Callithrix jacchus: one gene and its partners. The protein of the gene in region 7 purifies or fractionates together with the protein of the main gene of each other region. This does not show direct contact. Links are inferred from orthologs where the notes say so. Each region holds a gene or a part of one and is shown on either strand. Other genes may lie near its edges. The genes, in order: ANP32E, SMARCD2, MAU2, NOPCHAP1, NCBP1, MTA2 and KPNA1.

Region 1 (4,429 bases), on a different chromosome or scaffold from region 7:
TACCCAGCCAGAGATGCCATTTTATACTAAAAACTCTTTTCCCCCTCTCTTCGCCTTCACAAAATTTCCTTTGCAGGGAATTCAAAGGAAACATTGTAGAGACAACCATCGTTTTGTTTTCCTTTAAAGCATTTACATTTTCTTTATTTATTTGAGATGGAGTTTAGCCCTTGTTGACCAGGCTGGAGTGCAATGGCTGGATCTTGGCTCACCGCAACCTCTGCCTCCCAGGCTCAAGCCATTCTCCTGCCTCAGCGTCTGGAGTAGCTGGGATTACAGGTGCACGTCAACATGCCCGGCTAATAGTTTGTATTTTTAGTAGAGATGGGGTTTCACCCTGTTAGTCAGACTGGTCTCGAACTCCTGACTTCAGGTGATCCACCCGCCTCGGCCTGCCAAAGTGCTGGGATTATAGATGTGAGCCACCATGCCCGGCCAAAAGATAATTCTTATTTTAATCTTTCATATCCCATCCCACATAGATAAACTTTTCTTCTTGTGTCTTGAACACCAAATTTGAATCCCCTGAGGGGTTCTGTACTGTAATACCAGGTCCATGCATGAAGTGGACAAGCAAGCTCCTAGTCCGTCTTCCTGCTTCAAAAATCCATATAATATATTGGACTCGGAGAGAAGATACATCAGATAGTAAACTGATAAGAACAGATTCTACACTTGATCTTAGCCAAAAGGCAGAGAAGGATAAACACTTTTAAAAGACTACTTTACCTACAGATTTCCATGGAAACCAACCAAAGGGAAATTAGACAGGCATTGCTGTGCCATTTCTATGCTAATTAATGTCTGATTTTCATTAGGCCAGCGTTGTTTTTTCCGCCAAGGTCTTAGTGTTTATTACAGCAACAATTAGCTCAGTAACAATTCCTCCAGGATCGTTTTATTTAAATATTATTAACGTACATACTTCACCCAGCTGCTTTCAAAATTGTTGTCTTTTACGGTGTTAAACTACCATCTTTAAAATCTCGGCTCTGGCTCTGCATCACGGAAGGTCAGGCTCTGTGAAAAGCCTGACCCCAGCAGGACAATGCCACGAAGTCATCTTTTTAATGTGATGCGCGCGTTGCTGTACACCTTGGCTGCAAAGCAGAGTCTGTGCTTTTAAAACGGCCAACAGCCGGTGCGTGCCATGTGGTGAATTATCAGTATCGCAACTTGGGCACGGAAGGATGCTTTCTCCCTCTTTAACACTAACAACAGAATAAGAAATAAAAAACCAAAAACCAACTCCAACAGGCAACAAAACCGTCCGAGTGCCTAGGGAAAGCGCGCCAACTACATAAAGAAAAGTAGGGGGGCTACTGGGATTCAAAATCATTTCTCCGGGACGTACACCCTCCTGGACCTATCGAAATTAACTGCGCGCTTGATCGTAGCCAATAGATACGGAGTTTCTGGTCCAGGTCCTCCCTGAAGACTGATAGACGTTTACATTGCCCAATGGAATCATGTGACGCTGAAGAATCAACCAATACGTTTGGGAGGTGGGTGGAGTGTAGGCCAGGGGGTTGGCGGTGCCGTGTCATGGAGGCTCAGTCTCTGAGCAGCCATTGAAGGAGAAGGAACTGCGGGTGTGTGCGTATGTGTGTGTGTGTGTATGTGTGTGCGCGCGTGCGTGCGTGTGTGTGCGCGCGCTAGTGTGTGGACAAGGAGGTGGGGGCAGCTTAGTTAGAGTCCCAACTCTTGGACTCCATTTGCTATTCTCTTCTTTCTCCCTCACACCTATCTGGTGGTAGTGGGCGTTTATATTTGCGTTCCTTTTCATTCATTTCTGAATCCTAAAAATTGTGGGTTGGGGGTGGTGGGAAAGGCAGGAAAGGGAAAGGAAGGAGAGTAGTAGCTGAAGAGCAAGAGGAGGACATGGAGATGAAGAAGAAGATTAACCTGGAGTTAAGGAACAGAGCCCCGGAGGAGGTGAGATGACTCAGCCCCCACCCCTTCCCCATCAGTCCTGTATTCTGAGGATCGGGTTTCTGGGGATCCCGGTGGATGTGCGGGGATGGAGTAATAAGTTAGCCCCCACCCCCCGGGGCTAGGGTTGGAGAATTGTTTAATTTTAAGTTTTAAATCATTAAAATCTTCTACTTAAAATGGCGAAGGGTTGAAGTTTCTAGGGGCGTTTTTGTGTGTGCATGGGAGCTTAGCTCCTTCGGCTTTCATCGAGTCGGGCGTCCGGGCCTCGTGGGGGCGGGAAGCGGGCTGGTGGGGGCGCTCCGCCGCTCGGCTCCCGGCGTTCCTCCTCCCCGGGGCCGGCGGCGTGGGCGCAACCCCCAGTCCCACTCGGCCCCTGCCGCAGCCATCGGCGCCTGAGAAGTTAGTCCAACTTTTCTGCAGTGCGGCCAACTCATCTTTTCTGGGGGTGGGCTCCCCCGGCCTCGAGGCCCTGGGCGTCCGACGTCGCGCCGGTGGCGGGCTGGGGTCGCTCGCAGGGTCCGCGCGCGGTCTGCTCCGGAGGCGCCCACTCCTCCGGGAAGCCGCGCGCACCGCCCGCCACCCGGCGGAATCTGGGTCAGCGGCAGGTTCTCCGACCGCGGGCGAGTTTGGGGACTCGTCGCAGTGACCGGAGGTGGGGAGGGGACGGGAGGTGTAATCCGCTTCTTCCCCGCGCGGTGCAACGACATTTGGCACGTCGTGTGGCCGCAACTCTGATCCCTGGAGACGGTTTCACCAAACTCAGCATAAAGGGACGTAGTAGTTTCGTGCTTCAAAGATGGGTTCGGCGAAACTAAATGATGCGCTCTCACTGCTGTCGCCTTAGTTAAAGAGACGGGGTTGGGAGGGGCCACGCGAGGCGGGGTCGCGGTCAACTTTTCTGGGGTCGGGCGGGAGGCGTTTCCGCCTCGTTTTCGCGGTTGCCTCCTGGGCCTCACCTACCCGGGGCGAACGCGGGACGGCAGCGCGAGCTGGGAGGCGACCCCTTTTTCCCCTGGGGAGTCTCCGCCCCCCGTGGGGTTTCCCGTCAGCCGGAGCGGCAGGTCGCGAGAGCGGGGCGGGTGGCCAGCGGGGAGGCTCGCGGAGGAAAGCAGCAGTCTTGCTGAAATAAGCTCTAGAATTGGAATATGAGGGAGGTGTGTAGAGCTGGACCGACCGATCGATAGCATATAACTGGGGTGGTGTCTGTGCAGACCCGCAGAGAAGATGAGCAAGCTCTGAGCTTTCGCGTCCGGCGTGCGGAGTGGGAACTCACACTTTTTAAATTTTTTTATTTTTAGGTCCCTGTTTTCCTGAAATTGGCAGGTGCCAGGGAGGGGATACGGGATATCAGGGTCATCCCGGAGAGAGCTTGTTTCTAGAGCTTATTATTAGAGGCTTCAGGAAAAAAACTCAAACTTTAAAAGCTGTCTCTCAGAAGCACACGTTTAGAATACTTTTTGGTGGCTTGGGTTGGAAAATTGGACACCCCCCGCCCCGCCAGGATTCTTTCACTTAGTGATTGTAGTAATTTCTTTGCCAGTTTTGGGGTGTTCAGGACGTTGCCGTTTTTCAGCTCCTTCCGCTCTGTTGTAATAACGGTCTCTTATATTTGTATAGACAGTTTACAAAGCACTTTTCCCGTTTGTTATTTACTTTCCTCCTTACTTGTAAGGTAGATTGTGTTGTAGATTCCAAATTAGCAGATGGGAGTCTCAGGGCGGTGAAATGAGTTACACAAGTGGAGGAACTGGTTTTCTGACACCAAATGTAGCAGCCCCCACCCCTCAGCTAAACGGAGTGGAGTCAGAACACTGAACCAGTACACAGCCCTGTCACAAACAAACTATGGGCCTAGGCATGTCATTCTTGACCTCTGGGCCATTCCTCCTCTCCAGAACGGAGCTCAAGATGCTCTCTCTGACCACAGAAATAATTTTCTCAGAGTCATATTCAAATAGAGAAGGTGGGATTCCTTGTTGCTAAATTTTAGCTCACAGATACCTCAAACAAGTTTTCGCCTTGGGTGTAGAGAACTACAGTCTTCGGCCTTTCCGTTAAAGATTAAGGCCATTCAGGCCTACACCAGGAAGTTTGTTACTACAACTCTTACCTAATAGGGAATTCAGCCCCACTTCCTCAGGAATGGGGAGAAGTGCACAGAAATGCTATTATACCACAGTGGTAGGGAGAAGTAACATTTTGTTAAGAATGTATTGTTCTGGGTGATACTGTTTGGCCTGGATGTGAGAAGAAATGACACCCTCTGGGCTGTTCCCAGAAGTTTTCTAACATTTCTTCATGAAGGGTAAGGAGGTTTCTTTTGAGTTATGATGGCATTTATCAACCAAAGGGAAGGGGGTTTAAACTAAAGAAGTGATTAAACAGGCTGGGTGTGGTGGCTCAAGCCTGTAATCCCAGCAGTTTGGGAGGCCGAGGCGGGTAGATCACGAGGTCAAGAGATCGAGACCATCCTGGTCAACAAGGTAAAACCCCA
Region 2 (3,651 bases), on a different chromosome or scaffold from region 7:
CTGTGGCAGATGTCTGGGTGGAGCCTATTCCAGGCCTCGCCTGTGTGGCCTTGTCTTGGGACTTCCTGTTCCCCCTAGTACCTGGCCAGGAGGGATGGGTGGTGCTGCAGGTTTTGTGAAAGCCCCAGCAGGGAGCTTCTTGGGGGTCACAGGGCTGTCGCTCACACTCTGCAGGACCCACTGCTTCGATTTTCCCTGTCTTTGTCTCGGGCACTAGGAAAAATCTCAAGTCTGGGATGTCTGCACCCTGAGCTTACAACTGTAGCCACACTTCGTTTTTTTCTGTAATCTCAGGCCAGAGAAAGAACCATCCTTAAGGCAGAGAAAGAGGCTGTCTTGCCTTTCAACAGCTCTGATTAATCTCTTCCTGATGGAGAGAGACTTTGGCAGGACTCCCAAAGCCCCAGAGCCCCCCACTTTGAGCTTTATATTCTCCCAAACACTTCCTCCCACCGTGCTCCTGCTCTCCCCATCCTCATGTCTGTAGGTCATGTTTCTTTCCATCTCCACATCTGGTCAAGAATCTGACCCTCTGTGTTGGGAACATGGGTTTGGTGTGAGATGAAGAGGCTGGGGAAAAATCTCATCTCCTTGTTGCTGGGGTGGGGGAGGGTCCTTTGATTTGGTACAAGTCTCCACCCTCCTGGGCTTGGTTGGCTGGTTGTGCTCGTTGCATAATCTGGGCCCTGGGGCCAGCCCTGTGAAGCTGCCAGGGACAGTGTGTGCGAGGCAGAGCTGCCAAACAGGCCTTGCAGGCAGCAGCCATGGGAGGGAGGGGCGGAGGTGACTCTCAGATGGGTTCCACAGAAATGTTGGGGAGCAAGGCCTCAGGTGGGAAATCCTGCAGGCATCTAAAGAAACTATTTCTGTTTCCCACTTTCCTGTTGCTCAGCCTGGGCCTCTGATCCTTGCCTCCCAGGATCATTTTAGATCCCCTTCTCTAGCTTGGGATTGCCGGGGCTGCACGGAGCTGGAGCCAGTCATGGCTGTCAGGTGGTGCCTAGACCATGGGCAGAGTCCAGGTCCCAGCTGCTGTTTCCCACAGGCTACCCAGGAGCCATAGCTTCCCTTCTGGGGTCTTCTGGCATAGGGGTGGTAGTAGGGCAGTAGGGAGGTGAAAGGAGGGTCCAGTTCTGGGCTGTGGATAGGGGCTTCATGGTGACCAGACTATCCCTGTACCCTGCCTGAGGCCACCCCCACCAGCTGGTACACATTCCAAGCCATCCTGTTGCAGCCCTGCTCACCTGGGGTGCTGCTGCCTACCCGACCCCTTTCTCCCTTGGCCACAGAGGATAGGAATTGGGGCTCTGCCCGTTGGCCTGCTCATACCATAGTACACCCACCCCTCTGCCTGGCAGTGACACTGCCCCCATGCCTCCCAACTGTGCTTCTCCCTCATGATATGGGGGAAAGAGGAGGGCAGGGCTTGGTGAGACCATCTGAGGGAATAGGGACAGGCTTGTCCCAAGGAATAGGGCACAGCATGCTGGGGCTGGAAGGTGGCAATGGGCCCTGAAAAGCTCCCCTAGGCCCTTCCTTCTGCAGGCAGGACCCTCCTCCCAGCCCAGGTTCTGGCAGGCCTCATTTGCTGGCACAGCTGCCAGGGTGGTTGCAGGGGGCAGGGCAGGTGTGGTTTACACTCTGTGCTCAGGTGCCCGCTCCTCTTTGTTCCTGGTGCTCCAGCAGGGCTCTGACTTGCTGCTCCAGCAGGCCCGACCTAGGTGACGAGAGGGATGGAGGGCATGGGCTATGGGTCCCAGAGGGCCCTGCCCCTGACCTATGCATCCCCGTTGGCTCACTTCCCCCAGCGACCTGGCATGTCACCAGGGAACCGGATGCCCATGGCTGGGTTGCAGGTGGGACCCCCTGCTGGCTCCCCATTTGGTGCTGCAGCTCCACTTCGACCTGGCATGCCACCTACCATGATGGATCCATTCCGAAAACGCCTGCTTGTGCCCCAGGTGCAGCCCCCCATGCCTGCCCAGCGCCGGGGGTAAGAGCATCCTGTTTCTCCCACTCTACCTAACTCGGCTCTGGTGGTGGTAGAGGGTTTGCTTCTATCTTAAGAGCTCTGGTGACTGAGGAACTGGGGTAGAGGGTCCTGGAGACAGGAGGGGTGTTGGGGGGCAAGTGTCCTTTTTTGGACCATTGACCTCTTAAGTGGGTTTCTGTCCTCCCCAGGTTAAAGAGGAGGAAGATGGCAGATAAGGTTCTACCTCAACGAGTAAGTGTTGAGAGGAGGCCTGGAGGCCTGCCCAGTGGCCGCCTGGGGGTGGGCATCCATCTCCCTGAACCCTGGGCTGCAGGAGGAAGGGAGGAAAGAGTCAGGCTTTGGCTGAAGCGAGCTGATGAGCTCCTGCTACCTTCCTCCAGATCCGGGAGCTTGTCCCAGAGTCTCAGGCCTACATGGATCTCTTGGCTTTTGAGCGGAAGCTGGACCAGACCATTGCTCGCAAACGAATGGAGATCCAGGAGGCCATCAAAAAGCCTCTGACGGTATGTGTGGCCCTGACCGCCTCCAGCCATCCCAGGTTTCCTTGCCCTCCATCCACTTGTTTTCCAGGGGCCAAACGAGTCAGGCTAGAGCTGGTTTTTCACATGCAGGATGCAGCCTGCTAGTAAAGCCCAAACTCTGGAATGTCTTGGGACCAGTATGTTTCAAATGAATGTATGACAGTAGAAAATCTAAAAATACTTCTCAATAGTACTAACCATAGTAGTAAAGGTATTCTTTCATGAAATTTTTGTTTCAGATAAATATGCAGACCTTGGGTCATAATTGAAAATGTAAATCTTGGCTGGGCGTGGTGGCTTAAGCCTGTAATCCCAGCACTTTGGGAGGCAGAGGCTGGTGGATCACGAGGTCAAGAGATCAAGACCATCCTGGTCAACATGGTGAAACCCCGTCTCTACTAAAAATACAAAAAATTAGCTGGGCATGGTGGCACGTGCCTGTAATCCCAACTACTCAGGAGGCTGAGGCAGGAGAATTGCCTGAACCCAGGAGGCGGAGGTTGCGGTGAGCCGAGATCGTGCCATTGCACTCCAGCCTGGGTAACAAGAGTGAAACTCCATCTCAAAAAAAAAAAGAAAATGTAAATCTTATAGGTCGTAATCAAAAGTTTGAAAACTACTAGACTAGAAGATAAAGGTAGTTCCTTTCTCCTTTCCTATCCATAGAGAAGCTTTTCTTTTTTTTTTCTTTGAGACAGAGTCTCATTCTGTTGCCCAGGCTGGAGTGCAGTGGCGCAATCTTGGCTCACTGCAACCTCCACCTCCCAGGTTCAAGCTATTCTCCTGCCTCAGCCTCCCGAGTAGCTGGGACTGTAGGCACATGCCACCACACCCAGCTAATTTTTGTATTTTTAGTAGAGACGGTTTCACTATATTGGCCAGGCTGGTCTCAAACTCTTGACCTTGCAATCTTCCCACTTTGGCCTCCCAACGTGCTGGGATTACGGTGTGAGCCACCACGCCCAGCCTCTTGTTTTCTTTTGAGACAGAGTCTCGCTCTTTTGCCCAGGTTGGCGTGCAGTGGTGCGATCTTGACTCACTGCAACCTCTGCCTCCTGGGTTCAAGCCTCCTGCCTCAGCCTCCCAAGTAGCTGGGACTACAGACATCTGTCACCACGCCTGGCTGATTTTTGTATT
Region 3 (3,651 bases), on a different chromosome or scaffold from region 7:
TCTCAGCTCACTGCAACCTCTTCCTCCCCAGTTCAAGCAATTCTCCTGCCTCAACCTCCTGAGTAGCTGGGACTTCATGAGTGCAGGCGCATGCTACCACATCCAGCTATTTTTTATATTTTTAGTAGAGATGGGGTTTCACCATGTTGACCAGGATGTCTCGATCTCTTGACCTCATGATCCGCCCGCCTCAGCCCCCCAAAGTGCTGGGATTACAGGCGTGAGCCACTGCTCCCGGCCTCAGGTTTTTCTCTTCTCTGTTCTCTAACTGCTCCGTAGGGCAGACAATGGTTTATAATGAGAAGAATTGATAACTGTGTTACCCTTGGGTATTGGAGGCAAGGCAAGTGTATTTGAAATGAAAAGAACAAGTCTTTTCTGAAGTAGTCTCCGTGGAGATTGTGGGTGGCTCTGACACTGCCATGTGGGTCACAGCACCCAGCCCAGCCTCCTAACGTCCCCATCTCCCGTTCCAGCTCACGAACCACCAGGAGCTGTGGGCCTTCATCGTCACCAACCTGGCGAGTGTGTATATACGGGAAGGAAATAGGCACCAAGAGGTAGTAGGTGACATGCTTCATGTTTGGTATCCTTTCTCTTCATTCTCTTCTTTTTGGGGAACCAGGGGGTTGTCCTGGGCACCAGCAAATCTCAGCAAACAGCACACCCCAGGGTGTTCACCTTGAGGGATGGGTGCACTTGACACAGAGGCACACAGGGTGACCCAGAGGTGGATCAAGGGAGGCCAGGTCTGGGACAACAACATTCCCATAGCCAAGCTATATGAATCCCACAGACAAAGTCTTATAGCCCAAGCATTCTGCTCTAGGATATCGACCAGGCCTTGAGGCCCAGCCCTAAGGGACAGCAGCTGGGGCACCTTGTCCCCAGGTTGTACTGGTTCCCCTGCAGGGTCGGGGCCCTCACTGGCTCCAGTGTTGGGTAGGGGCGCCCAGGGTTGTCCTCATAGGCCAAGCACTCTGACGTGGACTTCTGAGCCAGTGCTCACAAGAGTCAGGTTCCCTTTGCAGTTCCTCTCAGCCCTAGGATCCTCCATCAGCCCTGGGATCCCCCCCAGCCCTAGGATCCTCTTATCAGCCCCCAGGATTCCCTCTTCAGCCCTGGGATCCCCCTCAGCCCTGGGATTCCCTGTTCAGCCCTGGGATCCCCCTCAGCTCTAAGACATCCCTCAGTTCTAGTATTCCTTTCAACCCTTGGAGTCTGCCTCCAAAGTGTCTCAGGCCTGAGGCAGTGGCTCATGCCTGTAATCCCAGCATTTTGGGAAGTCAAGGCAGGAGGATCCCTTGAGGTCAGGAGTTAAAGACCTGGGCAATATAGTGAGACCCCCATCTCTACAAAAAAATTTTTTAAATAACCCAGTGTGGGTGTGCAGGCCTGTGGTCCAAAGTACTTGGGAGGCTGAGACAGGAGAATCACTTGAGCTAAGGAGGTTGAGGCTACAATGAGCCGTGATCCAGCCCTGACTGGGTCATCTGATGCCAGATGTGGGCTCGCAGTGTTGAGGAGGAGCCTGGCTCCCCTGAGCCTCTGCAGCCAGAGGGCATCTAAAATACTAGATCACGCCCCCATCAGAGCCTCACAGGGTCCCTGCACCTCCAGAGAAATTCCATTCACCCCCACCGGCCCACAGGGCTCATGGACCCCAGCCTGCCAATCTGCCCACTGCCCCTCAGCGTCACTCTGACCATACAGAGGCCTCCTGGACACCCAGGCCCCCGTCACCTACCACAGGACAGGGTGGCACAGGCAGGGCCAGTCGAGGGTGTGAGGGTCCTGCCCCTGGCCTTTCTCACCAGAGACCACTCGCTGGTCAGTCACCAGGCTCTACCTGGTCAGCCACAGTCCCTACAGGAGTGTAGAGAAATGCCCATGTACTGCAGTGCGTTGTGGGGACCTTTCCTCTGTGAAAATGCAGAGTGGTGCTGACTGGCTCTTCCTCCCCTAGCTCTACAGTCTGCTGGAGAGGATCAACCCAGACCACAGCTTCCCTGTCAGGTGAGCCGCTCTAGGCGCCACTCCACACATGGCCTAGGCTCCCTGTGCTCTTTGAGGTGGGGCCCCCAACTGCCTTTTGCACCCTGACACCCCACACCCCTCCTCACAGACAGTCTGCAGCAGGGGGCTCTCAGAAATCCCTCCCCCGCTGCCTGCCCACTGCCGTTTTTGTAAACCTGCTGCTTTATCTAAATCCCCACCCCACGTGACACTACACTCTCCCCACAGCTCACACTGCCTCCGAGCGGCTGCCTTCTATGTGCGCGGGCTCTTCTCCTTCTTCCAGGGACGCTACAATGAGGCCAAGTGAGTGCAGGGCAGAGGGCAGCGGGTGGGCTGTGCTCAGGGTGGCCCAGGCCCTGTCCTGCAGGTGTCAGCGTCTGCATTCTCCTTGTCAGGCGATTTCTGCGGGAAACTCTGAAGATGTCCAATGCCGAGGACCTGAACCGGCTCACGGCCTGCTCTCTCGTGCTCCTGGGCCACATCTTCTACGTGCTGGGAAACCATAGAGTGAGTGCCCTGGCCTGGGCCCCTTGCTTGGGTGCCTGTGGGGCTGGCTGAGGGACAGGAGCCAGCTAGCAGCCTAGGGGCAGCATGGCACTGTTCATCCTATGCCCCTTGAAGAGTGTGTCTAGGTGGGCACCCTGGCTGCCAGTCTGGGCAGGCAGGGGCAAGGGAGCTGGGTACCCACGGAGGGTGTGGGGGCAGGCAGGAGGCCCAATGGGTGTGGCCTCAGACATCGGGCAGGCAGAGCTCCAGGGGTCAGGGGAGCTGAAGCCAGGGCCAAAGAAGCTGCCCTGAGCTGGCAGGGATGACACAGGCACCCCATCCTGTGGACACCCAAGGGGCAGGGAAATTACCTCCTCTCAGCCAGAATCCCAAACATTTCCTCCTTGCCTGGCATGCAAAGCGTCCTCTCAGGGTACAAGTGCCCCCTGGGGTTGGTCCCTACCCAAAGCCAGCTGGTCTCTGACGGGACCAGCTGCCTCAGTCCTTCCTGTCAATTCCTCACCTGCTCTCACCCACCTGATCTCACAAGGTCTTGAATTTTCTTTCCTTTTTTTTTTTTTTTTTTTTTTAATTTTGAGATGGAGTTTCGCTCTTATGGCCCAGGCCTAAGTGGTACAATGACACCATCTCTGCTCACCACAACCTCTGCCTCCCCGGTTCAGCTGATTTTCCTGCCTCAGCCTCCCAAGTAGCTGGGATGACAGACATGCACCACCACGCCCAGCTAATTCTGTGTGTGGTTTTTTGTTTTTTATTTTTTTGAGACAGAGTCTCGCTCCGTCACCCAGTCTGGAGTTCAGTGGCACGATCTCTGCTCACCACAACCTCCATCTCCGGTTCAAGCGATTCTCCTGCCTCAGCTGCCCAAGTAGCTGGGACTACAGGTGCACACCACCACGCCTCAGCTAATTTTTTGTATTTTTAATAAAGATGGGGTTTCACCGTGTTAGGCAGGATGGTAATTTTGTATTTTTAGTAGAGTCGGGGTTTATCCATATTGGTCAGGCTGGTCTCGAACTGCCAACTTCAGGTGATCCACTTGTCTCAGCCTCCCAAATCGCTGGGATGATAGGCATGAGCCACCATGCCCAGCCTTTTTTGTTTTCTTATTGATTTTATTATTAT
Region 4 (3,651 bases), on a different chromosome or scaffold from region 7:
CCAGTGCAGAAACAAGAGATGAGTATAAACGAGAGAACATTTTTACACAGAGCCTATGTAATCAATTGCTCTCTTCCACACATCATTTATTTTTATATACTGAATAAATCAGACTATAACTACCTCTTTTGGAGCTTGGACAGAAAAAAATCCAGTTAGGACATTTAGCAAATTAATGCTTCAGAATAACAAATGTAATATTTGACTTGGGGAAAAAAAAAACCCTCCTATGACATATGACTAAATCATAAAATGACTATGTACCTATACAACATTCGAAACATGAGCTAACACCAGGAAAATGACACTTGAAAATAAAATGGAAAAGTTCTCTCTTCTTCTCAGGTAGCAAGGTGAACTAGTAATTTCACCATATGAAAACAAAGCAGTTACCATTTGTATAACTTTGCCATGAGTCCCATCAATGTTTTCAATGTTGAAACGACCAGGTGGTGCAGCTGCCATTTCTTTTCTTAGCTTTTCATTTGCCTGTGCCATCTGTGGGAGAAAGGTCTGTACCTGATCCAACACTGTGGAAAGTAAATACAGTATATCAACATTTATGCCAGTAAATTCTGAAACTCAGGATTTCCTATAAACACTTCTGAATTGAGTACTAATAATAACAACCATAATTATATATCTTTTAATTCCCTTCTTTGAAAAACCCTTCATCCTCTTCTGAATAAAGCAGTAGGACAATACAATTCAGCAAAAAATTGTTTTCAAATGTTTTTATGTTTCTCATATATCCCCAGGACCGTAAACTCTTAGAAGGCTGGCATTCAACAAACAGTAACTAAATAGGGAGGCAGTGTGGCTTAACAGTTAAGAGTACCAGGTTCTGAGGTTTTAGAGTAAGACTGACTAGGTTATATATAGAATCCTAGTTCTACCTCTATCTGAATTACCTTGGGCCTGCTAATTAAGTAGTGGTTATTTCTGCCTACCCAACATCTGTTCCCTTTCTTCTGATCATATAACCCCGGCTTTCCTTTTAAGCTTGTGTCACTTTTAGTCACTCTTGTCCCTCACCCCATACATGCCTACATCCTCCATATCCTTAGTCACTGTAATGTGCTTTAGTGGCATACCAGTGACACAACGCTCTAGTCGGGCCAATAAGTTAACTCAGGGCCTTTTGTTGATCTGTTGAGAGAGAAATCTTGCTGAATGACTGACTGAGTTGCTGAATATAAGGCTGAAGCTCCTGATAAACTGGCAACTTGCCACACCTGAGATAAGAGCATGCCCTAGATTAGGTCAACACTAGGAAAGCAGAAATAAGAGACAGAGTGGCTGATCCCTGAGGACTTTGAGCACCTAGATCCAGATGTACCTGAAATCACCACCCCTGGAGTTTTTTTCCCCAATAAAAACAGCCAACATAATTTCTTTTTTTTTTTTTTTTTGCTTAAGGCTATCTGAGCTGGATTTTAGTCATTTGCAACCAAGAGTCCTAATTAATACATTTAATTATTTAATTTTACCACTTGAAACCTAATCTATAAAAGAGGAGTGATAATTGTCAGCCATTGTGCCAAGTACAGAGCAATCAATGAACTAAGGATATTTATTTATTTTTCTCTCTCGAAAGAGGCCCAGCACATAACCATGCATATAACAGGCTCTCAAAACTTATGTCAGTGCTATGGCTACATAATAGATGACTAAAATGTCCAGAGTATGGAAGAAGAAATAAAGTGGTGGTCAAGGTCAAGTAGATGACCTTTATTTGTAAAATAAGGTGCTGGAAGGACTCCCCAAGAGCATGTTCACAAACAAAGCCCTACACAATAGTGAAGGGTAGCTCTTATTCCCCTTCAGAGAGACAGAGAAATTACTGATAAAAATAAAGTTATTTCTCTGTCCTCAGATTTAAATCTATTGCTAGAGATAGAAAATCTGGTTCTGTTTTGTTTCCAACTAATGAATCAAGTAGAGCAAAACAAGAACCAAAATGTGTGGCCTGAACCGTGATTCTCAGAAGCCAAATATTTCCATGGTACTCTTGGAGAGTATATGCTGAACCCTGAGGCTAGTCCAGTTGTAGTTCTTCTAAATTAAATAAAATCCATCATACAAACCATAAGATTCAAAATGTCCAGCATCTAATAAAAAATTACCAAACATGCAAATAGATAGGAAAACCAAATACATAAAGAGTAGGGGAAAAAAATAGAAATAGATTCAGAAATGATACAGACAGAATCAGCAATAAGAATGTTAAAACTGCTCTTACAAATATGCTCTATATGTTTAAGGAAGAAAAGCAAAGCACAAACCCAAGGAAAGAAACAGAAGATGTAAACATCTCAAACTTCTAGAGATGGAAACTGTATCTATCTTGAAAAAACATATTTGATGGAATTAACAGATTAGACAATATAGAAGAACAGTGAACTCAAGAAAATCAGCAATAGAATCTATCCAAATTGAAACACATAACATGCAATACCCAATCAACGAGCTGTGGGGCAACTTTAACTGGCAAAATTAGGTGTAATTGGAGTCCCTTTGGGAGAGGCAAAGCAGGCACGACGGGAGCAACAACAACATAATCTCTAAAAAGTTCCCCAAATTTGATAAAGATTATAAACTCATAGATCCAGTATGTTCAACAAACCCAAGCTCAAGACGCACAAAGAAAACTACAAAGGGCACCTCACCATAAAATTGGTAAAAGCCAGTGATGAAGAGAATCTTAGAGGCAGCCAGAGGAAAAAGGAAACACCATATTCATGACACAAAATGACAGTAGACACTGGCATCAGAAACAATGCCACTGAAAAGACATCTTTAAAGTACTAGAAAAAAAAGAAAAAGCAAAACACCACACTGTCAACCTAGAATTCTAAATCCATTATAGCATCTTCCAAAAACTGAAAACAAAATAAAGACTTCCTCAGAAACACAAAGGCTGGTAAGTCTATTGTTGGCAGAGCCGCACTATTACGAATGATGTTTACCATAAGAACCTGATTTTTTTAAATGCATTCAAGATTTGAACAGGCACTTCAAAAAGATGCACAAATAGTGACACATGAAAAGATGCTCAACATTATTAATCATTAGAAACAAATTAAGATTACAACGTGATACCACTATATCTGCACTAGAATAGCTAAAATTAAAAAGACCATACCACATTTTGATTAGGATGTGTAGCATATAAACTCTCATACCTTGCTGGCGGAAATGCAAAATGGCAATTTCTTCTTCATAAAAAAGAATTTTACACCTTCCATATACCTGCAATCCCACTCCTAAGTATGTAACCCCTCAAAACAAAAACCTATATCCACAAAAACTGATTTTTGGATGGACAGCCACCATGAGGTCATTTTAGCTATTATGGATTTACTGCTACAGAAATAATGCTAAGGTTAAATTCCCCTTTCAGAGTACTCATGATTTCTTAGTTTATTGATGTGACACCTTCACGCTTATTTACATAAGTTTTCATTGAATTCTTGTCTTTTTTTTTTTTTAACATTAAGAGTGAATTACACGGTGGCTCACGCCTGTAATCCCAGCACTTTGGGAGGCCGAGGTGGGTGGATCACGAGGTCAAGAGATCGAGACCATCCTGGTCAACATGGTGAAACCCCGTCTCTACTAAAAATACAAAAATTAGCTGGGCATGGTGGC
Region 5 (3,651 bases), on a different chromosome or scaffold from region 7:
GAAATGTGCTGTCCAACCCAGTAGCCACTAGCTGCATGTGACCGTTTTAGTTTAATTAAAATTAAATAGTTTAAAATTCAGTTTTTTGGTCACACAACCACATTTCAGGTGCTACGTAGTAACATGCGGTGGCTCTTGTAAGAGGCTGTACATATTTATAAAACGTTTGCCCTGTTGAAGAAAGGTCTGTTAGGTAGTAGTACTCTAGAACCTTACCTCAGAGTGGTCTTAGGAAAAGACAGTCATGTACCCAAGTGTCTAGAACGTAAAGCAGACCTCATAAGCAGGGGCTGAGTTTATAGAGAGAAAAGCAAGATTCTATGACATCTGAGAGTGGGGTTCTGATCATTTTGCTTAAAGCATAGAGGAGACCAGTAGGTGGGCCCGTAACGGTATCACCTCAAAGAATTTCCCGGCTTTCTAGATTCAGTGATGCCACCTTCTTGTTGAAAGTAACTTGGTATGTAACACCGAGAGCCCTGTTCTGGCTCTGCCACTTTCAGGCTGGGTGATACTGGGAAAGTCATCTAACCTCTCAGCCTGTTCCCTTCTCTGTAAAATGGAAGTAAACCATGGCTTGTTTTTCTTTTCCTTTAAAAAAAAAAAAAATCAAAATGCTGTAAAGTCTTCAGAGTGAGCTAGGAGAGAATTATTAAAGCTTTACAGGAGTATATTGAACCCATGATTGCCAGCAGAAAGTCTTAAACAGCCACTTTGAATTATTGTATGTCATTTCTAAACTATGTAGCTATTTCTAAATTATGACCAGAATGAGCAGCCTTGGTGCATAGGACTGGCCCAGTTTTTTTATATGGCCCATTAGGAGATGAATGATAAGCAAGCTGCCTCTTTGTTGTTACTACTCAAACGGCCAAATAGTGATAAATTAGAGCCAAGTCCCCCACATTGTTACCAAGAAAAGTGCCACAAAATTTCCCTGGCCTAGATAAGAACCCATGGAATTTGAGTGAGAAGATAGTATCTCTGAACCACAACAGGACTTTGAGGTATATATGTGTGGGTGGTGGAGTGGGGGATACTTTTACTACAGAAAAGCCTTTAACATTTGGCCAGCCACAATAAAATCCTTCCCCTGGAGGGGATTTCATACACTGGAATTCTAAATGGTATTTTCCTTTTGTTCCCTTGCCTTCTGTAGCGAAGTGATGATGATGACAGAAGCAGTGATAGGAAAGATGGGGCTCTTGAGGAACAAATAGAAAGACTTCAGGAAAAAGTGGAATCTGCTCAGAGTGAACAAAAGAATCTCTTCCTTGTCATATTTCAGGTATCTTGGCTTGGGACATTTATACATAAAAAGAAACAATGCATTTTTTTAGTTTTTAAAAATACTATTTTTAATTATAAAAGGAATACACACTCATTTATAGAAGAGATTAAAAATATAAAAATTTGGAAGTAAATAAAAGTTCACTACTCAGGCAACTATGTATGTCTCTGAGTTTCTCAGCTGTTTACATTCTTGCATGAGCATTTCTTCATGCTTTAAAACAAAATTGTGGGTTGCTGTTGTTAAATACATCTCATTTAATTATTCTCTTTGCTGATCATTTTTTTTCCATGAACATTTTGATACATAGATTCCTGTTAACATTTCTGATTATTTTGTTAGAATAGATGTCAGGAAGTAATATTACTAGGATAAGTAATTTAAGACATTAAAGGTCTTTATGTATTGCTAGGAACTATGTACCAACTCATGTTATTACCAGTCTGCCTTAGGTTGACTTAATGAATAATGAAAGTTAGGAGCACACACCACAAAGACAGGGTGGAACAAGCAGTAGTTTGGAGTTTCTTTGTCATGAATTTTTTTCCAAAGATTCTATCTCTAGTACTACCTTAACTTCCTTCTCCCTTTCCAGCGGTTTATCATGATCTTGACTGAGCACTTAGTACGATGCGAAACTGATGGGACCAGTGTATTAACACCATGGTATAAGAACTGTATAGAGAGGCTGCAGCAGATCTTCCTACAGGTACATGGAGAACTTCAATTAGATAATAAACAGCACTATTCACAGCCACAAAGATTTTTGATTTAAAACCAATCCTTGTCAAATTTGTGAGGAGGTTTCATAGTACCTACCTGTTAGACCCTTTAGTTCATGTCCATTTGCTGCTACCATTGCTCATCAGAATATTTAGGCTTAAACTGATTCTATACCACTTAGATTCCTAATGCCCCTCCCCCACTCGCTTTTTTTTTTTAAGATTGAGTCTCTGTTGCCCAGACTAGAGTGCAGTGACACAATCTCAGGTCACTGCAACCTCCACCTCCCTGGTTTAAGCAGTTCTCCTGATTCAGCTTCCCATATTGTTGGGATTACAGGCACCTATCACTACTCCTAATTTTTGTATTTTTAGTAGGAACAGAGTTTCACCATGTTGGCCAGGCTGGTCTTAAACTCCTGACCTCAGGTGATCTGCCTCGGCCTCCCAAAGTGCTGCTGGGATTATAGGCATGAGCCACAGCGCCCAGTCTCCTACTTGCCATTTTCTATTCTAGGGATTCTAGCTATAATATAAAATGTAGAGGACAAAAATGTCAAGAGGACAGTCATTGGATTTATAAGTCCCTAAAAATCCAGTGTTCAGATGATAAACAGTGTCCACAGAATCAAGGTAAGCTCCCTAGGGTCTCTCTGCAGAAGCAACCTATTCTCACCCAGATTTAAGTTAAAGATATATAGGAAAGTGGAACTAATTGTGTCTTCAGACACTACTCCCTTACGTCTTCATTTGTTCATTCTAGGAGAATGATTAATGTAGAATTCATTTTTTAAATTTATTTTTTATTATACTTTAAGTTCTGGGGTACACGTGCAGAATGTGCAGGTTTATTACATAGGTATACATGTGCCATGGTGGTTTGCTGCATCTGTCACCCTGTCATCTACATTAGGTATTTGTCCTAATACTATCCCTTCCCCCCTTTTTTTTAAGTTCAATTCTTTGAGCTTCCAAATAGGAATTCCCTATTTTTTATTTATTTATTTAGGAATTCCTGATTTTATATTACTGCCAATTTTGGGGGTTTTTGTTTGAGATAGATTTTTTCTCTTGTTGCCCAGGCTGTAGTGCAATGGTGCAGTCTTGGCTCACTGCAACCTCCACCTCATGGGTTCAAGTGATTCTCCTGCCTCAGCCTCCCAAGTAGCTGGGATAACAGTTATTACAGGCCTGCACCACCACACCCAACTAATTTTGTATTTTTAGTAGAGACGGGGTTTCTCCATGTTGGTCAGGCTGGTCTCGAACTCCTGACCTCAGGTGATCCACCTGCCTCGGTCTCCCAAAGTGCTGGGATTATAGGCGTGAGCCACTGCACCTGGCCAGTTACTGCCAGTTTTAAAAGCTTTCCCAGTGTCTAGTCCTGTAAGAATTTGAGTATATTAATGGCTTATAGAGGAACACACAGAGTATTTCAGGCCGGATACTTTTGCTCACGCCTATAACCTCAGCACTGACCAACATGGTGAAACCTTGTCTGTACAAAAAATACAAAAATTAGCCAGGCATGGTGGTGGGCACCTGTAATCCCAATTACTCGGGAGGCTGAGGCAGGAGAATCACTTGAACTCAGGAGGTGGAGGTTGTGGTTAGCAGAGATTGTGTCACAGCACTCCA
Region 6 (4,327 bases), on a different chromosome or scaffold from region 7:
TCCTGACTGAGGGCGGGGTGAGAGCTGAGCTCCTTCTCCCCAGGGGATGTGGCTGGAGGCTGCAAGCAGCTGAAGAATCGCTATGAGAGCCGAGACCGGGAGTGGGCTACGTACACCTGTGTGCTGGGCTTTCACGTCTACGGTGAGCAGGGGCGTGGAACCCTGCTGGAGGGGCGGGGGACAAGGTGGAGCCCAGTTTGGGCTCGAAACGCTGGGCGTGTGTCGTTGGGTGGGAGTCCAGAAACCTGAAGATCCAGCCCAGGAGGCCCCCCCCCCCCGGCCCTCGGGACCGGGAAGGCTTGCCTGGAACGCGGCAGTGGGTGGCCGTGGCTGCCGGAGCGCCTGAAATAGTGCAGCTCTGGGCCGTGGGTGGCAGTGGGGAGGAGGTCGGGCTGAGGCCGGCCGCTGTGCTAGGCGTGTGGCCGGACGGCTCCGATGGGACCGACATCAACTCCCTGTGCCGCTCCCACAATGAGCGCGTGGTGGCGGTGGCTGACGACTTCTGCAAAGTGCATCTTTTCCAGTACCCGTGTGCTCGTGCCAAGGTGAGGCCGCAGGGGCCTCCGGGGCGGGGTGGGGCGGGACAGGACGGGTGGGCCCGAGGGCTCCGCCGCCACCGCAACTCCCTTCCCTCCTGTCCAGGCGCCGAGCCGCATGTACGGTGGCCACGGCAGCCACGTGACCAGCGTCCGGTTCACGTACGACGACTCGCACCTCGTCTCGCTGGGCGGCAAGGATGCCAGCATCTTCCAGTGGCGAATGCTGGGAGCAGGGGGCGCGGGGCCAGCGCCCGCCACGCCCTCTCGAACCCCCTCCCTGTCCCCCGCCTCCTCCCTTGACGTTTGATCTCGGCCTGGCGGACCAACTGGCTGAAGGCGTGGACCCGCCCCGCCCCGCCCTAGTTCCTTTAGACCCGGGGCTGACTCCTCGACTGACTTCCAGACATTCCCGATCGCGCATTTCCCTGGAGGGCGCGAACGGCGCCCCTGCACACACTGTTTAGACCCGCTGGCTGAGCTGGGCAGCCCCAGCCTAGGCCTTGACTCCCGCTGCCTGCTGAGGGGCAATAAACGAGAACCAAAGTCGCCTCCCGGTGCTTTTGTGGGGCGCTGCTGGGGGCCTCCGGGGCCTTGTGGGGTGGGGACGAAGGAAAAGAGGCGTGCGGAAAGGGTAAGGGAGCGTAGACCATTTATGCAAATAACAGGCAAAGCCGCTTGCAAATAACCTGGTTAAGCGCGAAGGCGCGCGAGTCTTTCGGGGCGGCAGGAGAAGCTGCAGGGACCCAGCGAGTACACAGTTAAGTCCGACTTCTCTCCCGCCCTCGGAAAAATGGGGTGGGTCCGAGCTGCGACGGAAATAGCCGAGTGCCGGGCCGCTGTTGGCCGACAGGAGCCGAACCTCTTCCGGAAGTAGCCGATCTGCGGGGTCTCGCTCTACGACCTAAGCCGAACGGTGGGCCTTGTTCTCCGGATCGGCCGAAGGTGTTCCGGAAGGAGGCGAACCCCGAGGCGGGCCGGGCAAGCCTTCCCTGCGGCCGGCAGATCCCAACGACTAGTGGGACTCGGCGGGGGCGGGGGTAGCTGGAGCTTAGCTCTGGCCTGGCAGGAGCCGAGCTCGTTCCGGAAGAAGCCGAGCGGACCGGGGCCGGCCTCAGCGTCCCGGGAGTGGGGCGATATCTGCCGCGGCGACAGCGCGGGCCGGGATGAACCGCGACGGCTGAGGCAGTGGAGGTGCCGGCTGCGCGGGCCCCACTGAGACTCCCTTGAAGCTACAGCCCCACGCTCGGGGCTTTGCCTCGAGCCGAGCCCTGCCTCCGCGAGCCTTCCGGACCCCTTTGTGCGGCCGGAGGCGGCGGCGGGAACGGCCATGGCGGCCAACATGTACCGGGTGGGGGGTGAGTACCGGGCGCAGGGGTGCGGGGCCCGGGGCGGGAGATGTTGGGGTCGGGACCGGAGGGACTCCGCACCTGGTGGCGCGGGGCGCCGCGTCTGGGGCAGCGTGGACCCGAGCGCGGACCGGAACCGGAACCGGGAGACTGGGAGCGGGGAAGTGAGGGTGCGGGAACGGCGACCGCGACGCGGCAGGGTGCCGAGACTCCCGGAGAGAAGCTGCGGGCAGCCCCGACGGCACTCTCAGGGCTGCGTCGGGGGCTCCCCCGGGTACAGAGTGGGCTTTGGAAACTGGTTCAGAAGGAGCTGACCTGGTAGGGAGGCGACGCGAGGGGCTGGGGCGACGGCTTTGCCACCGCGGGGGAGCCGCCCGGAGATTTCCTCTTCCCAGGCGTTATTGTGCGCCTCGGTTCGAAAAGGTGGGGGCCCAGCGCCAGCGTGAACAATGACTTCGCCGCGACTGGGCTGCAACTCATAGCTGAGTTGTGGGGACGCAGGGGAACCCCTGCTTCTTGCCTGTTCCTTAAGGCTCACTTTTCTGTGAAGGATCCGATTTTAGAACTAGGCGTGGTGGGGATGGGGAACATCCTTATTTTCTCTTAGTCTTTCCACTTTCACATCTCAGCGCCCTCTCTACCTGGATCTTTATCTTCTTTTGGTCCACTCAGGCCAACTTTCTCTCCTACTCTCGTGCTCTGTGTCTCCCGTCTCGTCCTCTGATCTTCGTGGTTCTTCCCCCTCCCCTCCCTTACAGATTACGTCTATTTTGAGAACTCCTCTAGCAATCCTTACCTGGTTAGACGGATTGAGGAGCTCAACAAGGTGAGTGGAGCAGAATCCCTCTCCCTCCCTCCCCCAGTGGTCTCTTTCTTCTGAGGTTTCTAACTTCTGGTGGAAGAGAGGACTCTATACTAAGTATCTATTCATATTCATTCATTCATTCATTGGATGTATTCAGGAAAGGCTATTGAGAGCTTAGCAGGAACTTACTATTCTGTCTCTTGGGGGCAAAGGAAAGGGATTTGGAAGTCTGTCCTTGAATGTAAGTCTTTACTCCTATTTTCTTGGGATTTTTTATTTAGGTTCCTCTGAAACTTACTGTTATTTGTCTCTGTGCATTTCTGTACCCAGATGATCAATTTTTCACTGCTACATTTTTTTTTTCTCTCCTTAGACTGCAAATGGAAATGTGGAGGCAAAGGTTGTCTGTCTTTTCCGGCGCAGGGACATTTCTAGTAGTCTCAACAGCCTGGCTGATAGTAATGCCAGTGAGTACCTTCATCTCTTTCTTTTCCCCCTCCCCATGATCTGAGGCCTGGGCATGTCCCTGCAGGAGTTTCTCCTGGTAGCATGCCCAAGGCAGAGGTGTGAATTTAGGGGTGGGAAATACCTGGTCTGAGGAGGGAGGCCTGTTTTTACACGTTGGGGTTGGAAGCAGGGTGGAGAGATTGTGATAAGGAAAGCTATAATATGGTTTGTGTATGAGTGTAAGAGAGAGATGATAATGTTTATTTAGGGGATGAGGATGAACTTCAGAGAAGCAGAATGCTTTTCTAAAGGGGGACAGTTTGGTGTACATTAGAACAGTAGGTGGTGACTGAAGGTCAAGGTGAAGAGGAAGAGATTGTTCTGAGAGGCCCGCATAACAGGGAAGTAGGCTCATTTTGTAATCACAAGGTGGTGGGAATACCTGGAAGCTGGAAGATGGTAGGAAAGTTTTCTTGTACTTTTCATTTCTTACCTCACCCATTTCCCGGCCCCCACTCCATTTTACATCTTTCCCTTTTCATTTTGCCCTGTCTTCATTCTCTTTAAGTTCTCATCTTTTTTTTTAAAAAAAAAAAACAACACAAAGAAACATGTTTTCCTCAGCTTCTTTTTCCTTTCCTGCTTTGATTTTCTTTCTCCTTCCTTTTGTTCCACCTTTCTAAATTTTCCTTTTTCAGACTGTTCTGGGTGAGAAGGGGTTAAGAAGGATCCCGGCTTACCAAGTTCCTTGGCCCTTTAGGGTTTCCAGCCCCATCTGGCAGGGGCTGACCTTGGCCTTGTCCAATCAGAATGAGTGTTGGGGGTGTGGTCCCCCTTGCCTTAGCACAGGGTTTCCGGAGCACATAGGCCAGGGGTGGAGCCTACCGCACAACCCCCCTTCTCCCTGAGGTTGGGAACAATGCACCAATGAGCCTGGGCCTGAGGCTCTTCTGTCCCCTCCCACGTTGGTTGGCGCCTAGCCAGGTTAACCCCTTCCACAAGGTTTCAGGGCAAGCTGCAGCTCCTTGGGGAGGAAGGTGTTGCCACTAGCTTGAGAGGTCTTGTCCTTGAAAACCCCAGGAACTATTATTAGAAAATGAGGGATAGTTAGGGCCACATGTGATGTTTTAGAGCAGAATCTCCTGAAATTGAAAATAACTGTAAATAGTCTTGTGTGATACTTTTTCATT
Region 7 (3,651 bases):
ACCCCAGAATCCCCAAAGTTTATTGTATCAATCTCATGCTTTTGTGCCCTCATAGCTTACATCCCACTTATGAATGAGAACATCTGATGTTTGGTTTTCCATTCCTGAGTTACTTTACTTAGAATAATGGTCTCCAGTTCCATCCAGGTTGCTGCAAATGCCGTTGTTTTGTTTCTGTTTATGGCTGAGCAGTATTCTATGGTATATATATCACAGTTTCTTTATCTACTTGTTGATTGATGGGCATTTGGGCTGTTTCCATAATTTTGCAATTGTGAATTGTGCTGCTGTAAATATGCGTGTGCAAGTATCTGTGCACGTTTGTAGCAGTGGAATTGCTGGATCAAATGGCAGATCTACTTTCAGTTCTTTAAGGAATCTCTGTACTATTTTCCATAGTGGTTATACTAATTTACATTCCCCTTTTCACCACATCCATGCCAACATTTATCGTGTTTTTGTTTTTTTGAGACAGGGTTTCGCTCTTGTTGCCCAGGCTGGAGTGCAGTTGTGCAGCACACTGCAACCTCCACCTCCCAGGATCAGGCGATTCTCCTGCCTCAGCCTCCTGAGTAGCTGGGATGATGGGCACACACCACCATGCCCGGCTGATTTTTGTATTTTTAGTAGAGATGGGGTTTCACCATGCTGGCCAGGCTGGTCTTGAACTCCTGACCTCAGGTGATCCACCCACCTCAGCCTCCCAAAGTGCTGGGATTACAGGCATGAGCCACCACATCCCGCCTGTTTTGATTTTTTGATTATAGCAATTCTTGCAGGAGTAAGATGGTATAACATTGTGGTTTCAATTTGCATTTCCCTGATAATTAGTGATGAGCGATGAGCATTTTTAAATGGTTTTTGGCTATTTGTATATCTTCTTTAGAGAATCGTCTGTGTCCTTAGCCCACTTTTTGATGGGATTGTTTTTTTCTTGCTGATTTGAGTTTCTTGTATATTTTGCATATTAGAAGAAACAGGATTTTTTTTTGGTAGTTGTTTTTAATTTGGAATCATTTTTCACTGAATTCATCTTAAAACCCTAGCATTTTTGGTCTAAAGTATCTAAAATACAGAATTTCTTAGCTTTCACATTTTTGAAAGTTTCTTTACCTCTTTAGTCCACAAAGAATGTGTTTTGACAAGGAATCTCACTCCAAGAATTGATGTATATAAAACTTTATGATCTGAAATTAATTTCCTTGGGCTCTGACTACAAATTAGTGCAAGACCACTGACAGCATTGTTAAAGATGGAACTGCCACTTAGGTACTTGTTGTTTCTTGAGAAGTGTAAATCACTCAAGAAGTCACCAAATTTATGCCTGGCTGCCTTCTTGAGTATCTCACCTCACTTCTGGCTTCTAGTCTGTTGGATTTCATAATCATCATTTTCCTTTTATAGGTTTCCCCATGTCTGAATGTGCTTTCCTGGTTGCTGTTTGTCAGTGACACTGATGTACTGGCTGATGCCTGCTGGGCCCTCTCATATCTATCAGATGGACCCAATGATAAAATTCAAGCAGTCATTGATGCGGGAGTATGTAGGAGACTTGTGGAGCTGCTGATGTAAGATATGTTTTAGAAAGTGTGTTCACTTTTTTTCCCTTGGTACTAGTTTTCTAGCTACTAATACTTAAATATTAATTGATTGTATATTATATTGGTTTATTGTGCTTTGGGCTACTATTTTTTGTTACTTGTTTATGTTGATGGCAGATCTGTTTGTCTTGTTTTATTGAGGCTTATAGAGAACCTCTTACTCCTCTGCTGTTAGCAGGCCTTTAGCAGAAATATTTGGAAAACTCTGATCTGTGTAGTTACAGTCTCATACTGGATGACCCGAGATCAACCACTGGACATCAGAAGATACACTGCCAATAAAATAGTCATTCCTTATCTTTCTGTCTCATTTAGAGCTTATTTAAGACAAGTATCAGAAACTGAATCTTACTTTGGTTTATCACCTTTGTGCTGCTTTTGATAATGCAGTAGAAGATTTACTCGTTAAATAAATAATTTGAGACTGTCTTAATCAAATTTTTAGATACGACAGAAGAAAAAAGTGATAACATAATGGAGAAATGGTACAACTACAAGCAACTGGAAATTTAATTAAAGTACAAAATAGATGCGAGGAGACATTGTCTCAAACATGACATTTGGAATAGATTAGATAGTTATAATATGTTAATACAAAATACAACATTATAGCTGGCTGCAGACTGAATGCAGAGCAGTATTGTAGTGCTAATGTGAATGAATGGCAGGCAGTATGATGCTGCAGGAGTCAGTACATCATTCAAAATCTGGGAAGTAAACCTTTGCATTCTTTATCCATTAGACTACTATATATTTTAGCCATTTCTTTTTAATAATCACATCTAAAATGTGAAGGAACTGGCAGTTTTTAGATGAGTGATCAGCCTTATTAAAGGGGCGGGAAAAGTAGGACCCTTAAAGAAAATCAAAAGTTTGTGTGTGTGTGTGTATGTATAGCTTTGTGGAGGGATTTTCAACCAGTAAGGGAGGGGTTTTCAACCAGTAAGGCAGCTTAGTAGGTTTAGTTGAAAGACCTTTATATTTGGAGTGTGACTCCTGACTTGCATTTTCAAGTTAGTTCGGCTGTTGATGTGTTGTTTTTAACCTCTGTGAAAATTAAGACAATTTATAAAACTTAAAACATGTTGCATAAATATTAACTATTGTTCTCCGTTATCTCAGCAACCATACAAGACCAAGTAAAGAGGAAATGAAACCTAAATTAAAGAATGAGAGGGAAAACTTGGAATCCAGGTGATGGAATACCTGGGAAAGATTCCTAGGAAAGATTGGTAGTTTTTTCCAAATGTACTAAAATAAAGGGAAAGACAGTAGGGGACATGATAAGAGTTCCCTTAATTACCCCCATAGGTACCTTTCTGCTCTAAAATTCTATCATAATTTTTTTTAATTTTGGTTCTAAGGAAATGAGACTAAGGATAGAACTGTTGGCTATAACATTACTTTTTATTTTTTCAGGCATAATGATTATAAAGTGGTTTCTCCTGCTTTGCGAGCTGTGGGAAACATTGTCACAGGGGATGATATTCAGACACAGGTATGAAGAAGTGATAATTGTTTCTTTGTTCCTTTAAAAAGAGTACTACATTGGCTGGGCATGGTGGCTCACACCTGTCATCTCAACACTCTGGGAGGCCGAGGCAAGTGGATCTTGAGGTCAGGAGATTATGATCATCCTGGCCAACATGGTAAAACCCTGTCTTTACTGAAATACAAAAAATTAGCTGGGTGTGGTGGTGCACGCCTGTAGTTCCAGCTACTTGGGAGGCTGAGGCAGGGGAACTGCTTGAACATGGGAAGTGGAGATTGCAGTGAGCCTAGATTGTGCCATTGCACTCCAGCCTGGTGACAGAGCGAGACTCCATCTCAAAAAAACAAAACAAAAAAACAGTACATTGAACTTCATGATCATATTTCTATTATAGTATTTAACTTCATATTATTAGGGAAATTTGATACTGTGTTTCACTAATGTTTAAAAATATTGAGCCAGTGCAGTGGCTCATGCCTGTAATCCCAGCACTTTGGGAGACAGAGGTGGGTAGATCGCCTGAGCCCAGGAGTTTGGCACCAACCTGGGCAACATGGC

The links.
Region 1: the proteins of KPNA1 (region 7) and ANP32E purify together in Homo sapiens (affinity purification with mass spectrometry; 4 studies listed by BioGRID and IntAct, with this or other methods). This does not show direct contact. The link is inferred for Callithrix jacchus from reciprocal best matches to the Homo sapiens genes KPNA1 and ANP32E.
Region 2: the proteins of KPNA1 (region 7) and SMARCD2 purify together in Homo sapiens (affinity purification with mass spectrometry; 3 studies listed by BioGRID and IntAct, with this or other methods). This does not show direct contact. The link is inferred for Callithrix jacchus from reciprocal best matches to the Homo sapiens genes KPNA1 and SMARCD2.
Region 3: the proteins of KPNA1 (region 7) and MAU2 purify together in Homo sapiens (affinity purification with mass spectrometry; 3 studies listed by BioGRID and IntAct, with this or other methods). This does not show direct contact. The link is inferred for Callithrix jacchus from reciprocal best matches to the Homo sapiens genes KPNA1 and MAU2.
Region 4: the proteins of KPNA1 (region 7) and NOPCHAP1 purify together in Homo sapiens (co-immunoprecipitation; 3 studies listed by BioGRID and IntAct, with this or other methods). This does not show direct contact. The link is inferred for Callithrix jacchus from reciprocal best matches to the Homo sapiens genes KPNA1 and NOPCHAP1.
Region 5: the proteins of KPNA1 (region 7) and NCBP1 purify together in Homo sapiens (co-immunoprecipitation; 3 studies listed by BioGRID and IntAct, with this or other methods). This does not show direct contact. The link is inferred for Callithrix jacchus from reciprocal best matches to the Homo sapiens genes KPNA1 and NCBP1.
Region 6: the proteins of KPNA1 (region 7) and MTA2 purify together in Homo sapiens (co-immunoprecipitation; 3 studies listed by BioGRID and IntAct, with this or other methods). This does not show direct contact. The link is inferred for Callithrix jacchus from reciprocal best matches to the Homo sapiens genes KPNA1 and MTA2.

What each region holds. Positions count from the first base shown.
Region 1 is NC_133519.1:10,158,879-10,163,307, reverse strand, and holds the start of ANP32E (acidic leucine-rich nuclear phosphoprotein 32 family member E), read left to right. Parts: upstream 1-1,555; 5' UTR 1,556-1,881; coding exon 1,882-1,935; intron 1,936-4,429. UniProt on the Homo sapiens protein: Histone chaperone that specifically mediates the genome-wide removal of histone H2A.Z/H2AZ1 from the nucleosome: removes H2A.Z/H2AZ1 from its normal sites of deposition, especially from enhancer and insulator regions.
Region 2 is NC_133506.1:89,116,697-89,120,347, reverse strand, and holds part of SMARCD2 (SWI/SNF-related matrix-associated actin-dependent regulator of chromatin subfamily D member 2), read left to right. Parts: intron 1-1,808; coding exon 1,809-1,993; intron 1,994-2,181; coding exon 2,182-2,224; intron 2,225-2,373; coding exon 2,374-2,496; intron 2,497-3,651. UniProt on the Homo sapiens protein: Involved in transcriptional activation and repression of select genes by chromatin remodeling (alteration of DNA-nucleosome topology).
Region 3 is NC_133523.1:18,025,840-18,029,490, forward strand, and holds part of MAU2 (MAU2 chromatid cohesion factor homolog), read left to right. Parts: intron 1-476; coding exon 477-563; intron 564-1,966; coding exon 1,967-2,016; intron 2,017-2,244; coding exon 2,245-2,322; intron 2,323-2,414; coding exon 2,415-2,526; intron 2,527-3,651. UniProt on the Homo sapiens protein: Plays an important role in the loading of the cohesin complex on to DNA. Forms a heterodimeric complex (also known as cohesin loading complex) with NIPBL/SCC2 which mediates the loading of the cohesin complex onto chromatin.
Region 4 is NC_133510.1:107,923,126-107,926,776, reverse strand, and holds part of NOPCHAP1 (NOP protein chaperone 1), read right to left. Parts: intron 531-3,651; coding exon 394-530; intron 1-393. UniProt on the Homo sapiens protein: Client-loading PAQosome/R2TP complex cofactor that selects NOP58 to promote box C/D small nucleolar ribonucleoprotein (snoRNP) assembly. Acts as a bridge between NOP58 and the R2TP complex via RUVBL1:RUVBL2.
Region 5 is NC_133502.1:145,796,688-145,800,338, forward strand, and holds part of NCBP1 (nuclear cap-binding protein subunit 1), read left to right. Parts: intron 1-1,159; coding exon 1,160-1,288; intron 1,289-1,886; coding exon 1,887-2,000; intron 2,001-3,651. UniProt on the Homo sapiens protein: Component of the cap-binding complex (CBC), which binds cotranscriptionally to the 5'-cap of pre-mRNAs and is involved in various processes such as pre-mRNA splicing, translation regulation, nonsense-mediated mRNA decay, RNA-mediated gene silencing (RNAi) by microRNAs (miRNAs) and mRNA export.
Region 6 is NC_133511.1:119,871,007-119,875,333, reverse strand, and holds the start of MTA2 (metastasis-associated protein MTA2), read left to right. Parts: upstream 1-1,488; 5' UTR 1,489-1,866; coding exon 1,867-1,894; intron 1,895-2,643; coding exon 2,644-2,711; intron 2,712-3,063; coding exon 3,064-3,157; intron 3,158-4,327. Other genes in the region: EML3 (echinoderm microtubule-associated protein-like 3), read left to right, coding at 44-142, 415-545, 643-846. UniProt on the Homo sapiens protein: May function as a transcriptional coregulator. Acts as a component of the histone deacetylase NuRD complex which participates in the remodeling of chromatin.
Region 7 is NC_133516.1:80,579,105-80,582,755, forward strand, and holds part of KPNA1 (importin subunit alpha-5), read left to right. Parts: intron 1-1,404; coding exon 1,405-1,568; intron 1,569-3,020; coding exon 3,021-3,099; intron 3,100-3,651. UniProt on the Homo sapiens protein: Functions in nuclear protein import as an adapter protein for nuclear receptor KPNB1. Binds specifically and directly to substrates containing either a simple or bipartite NLS motif.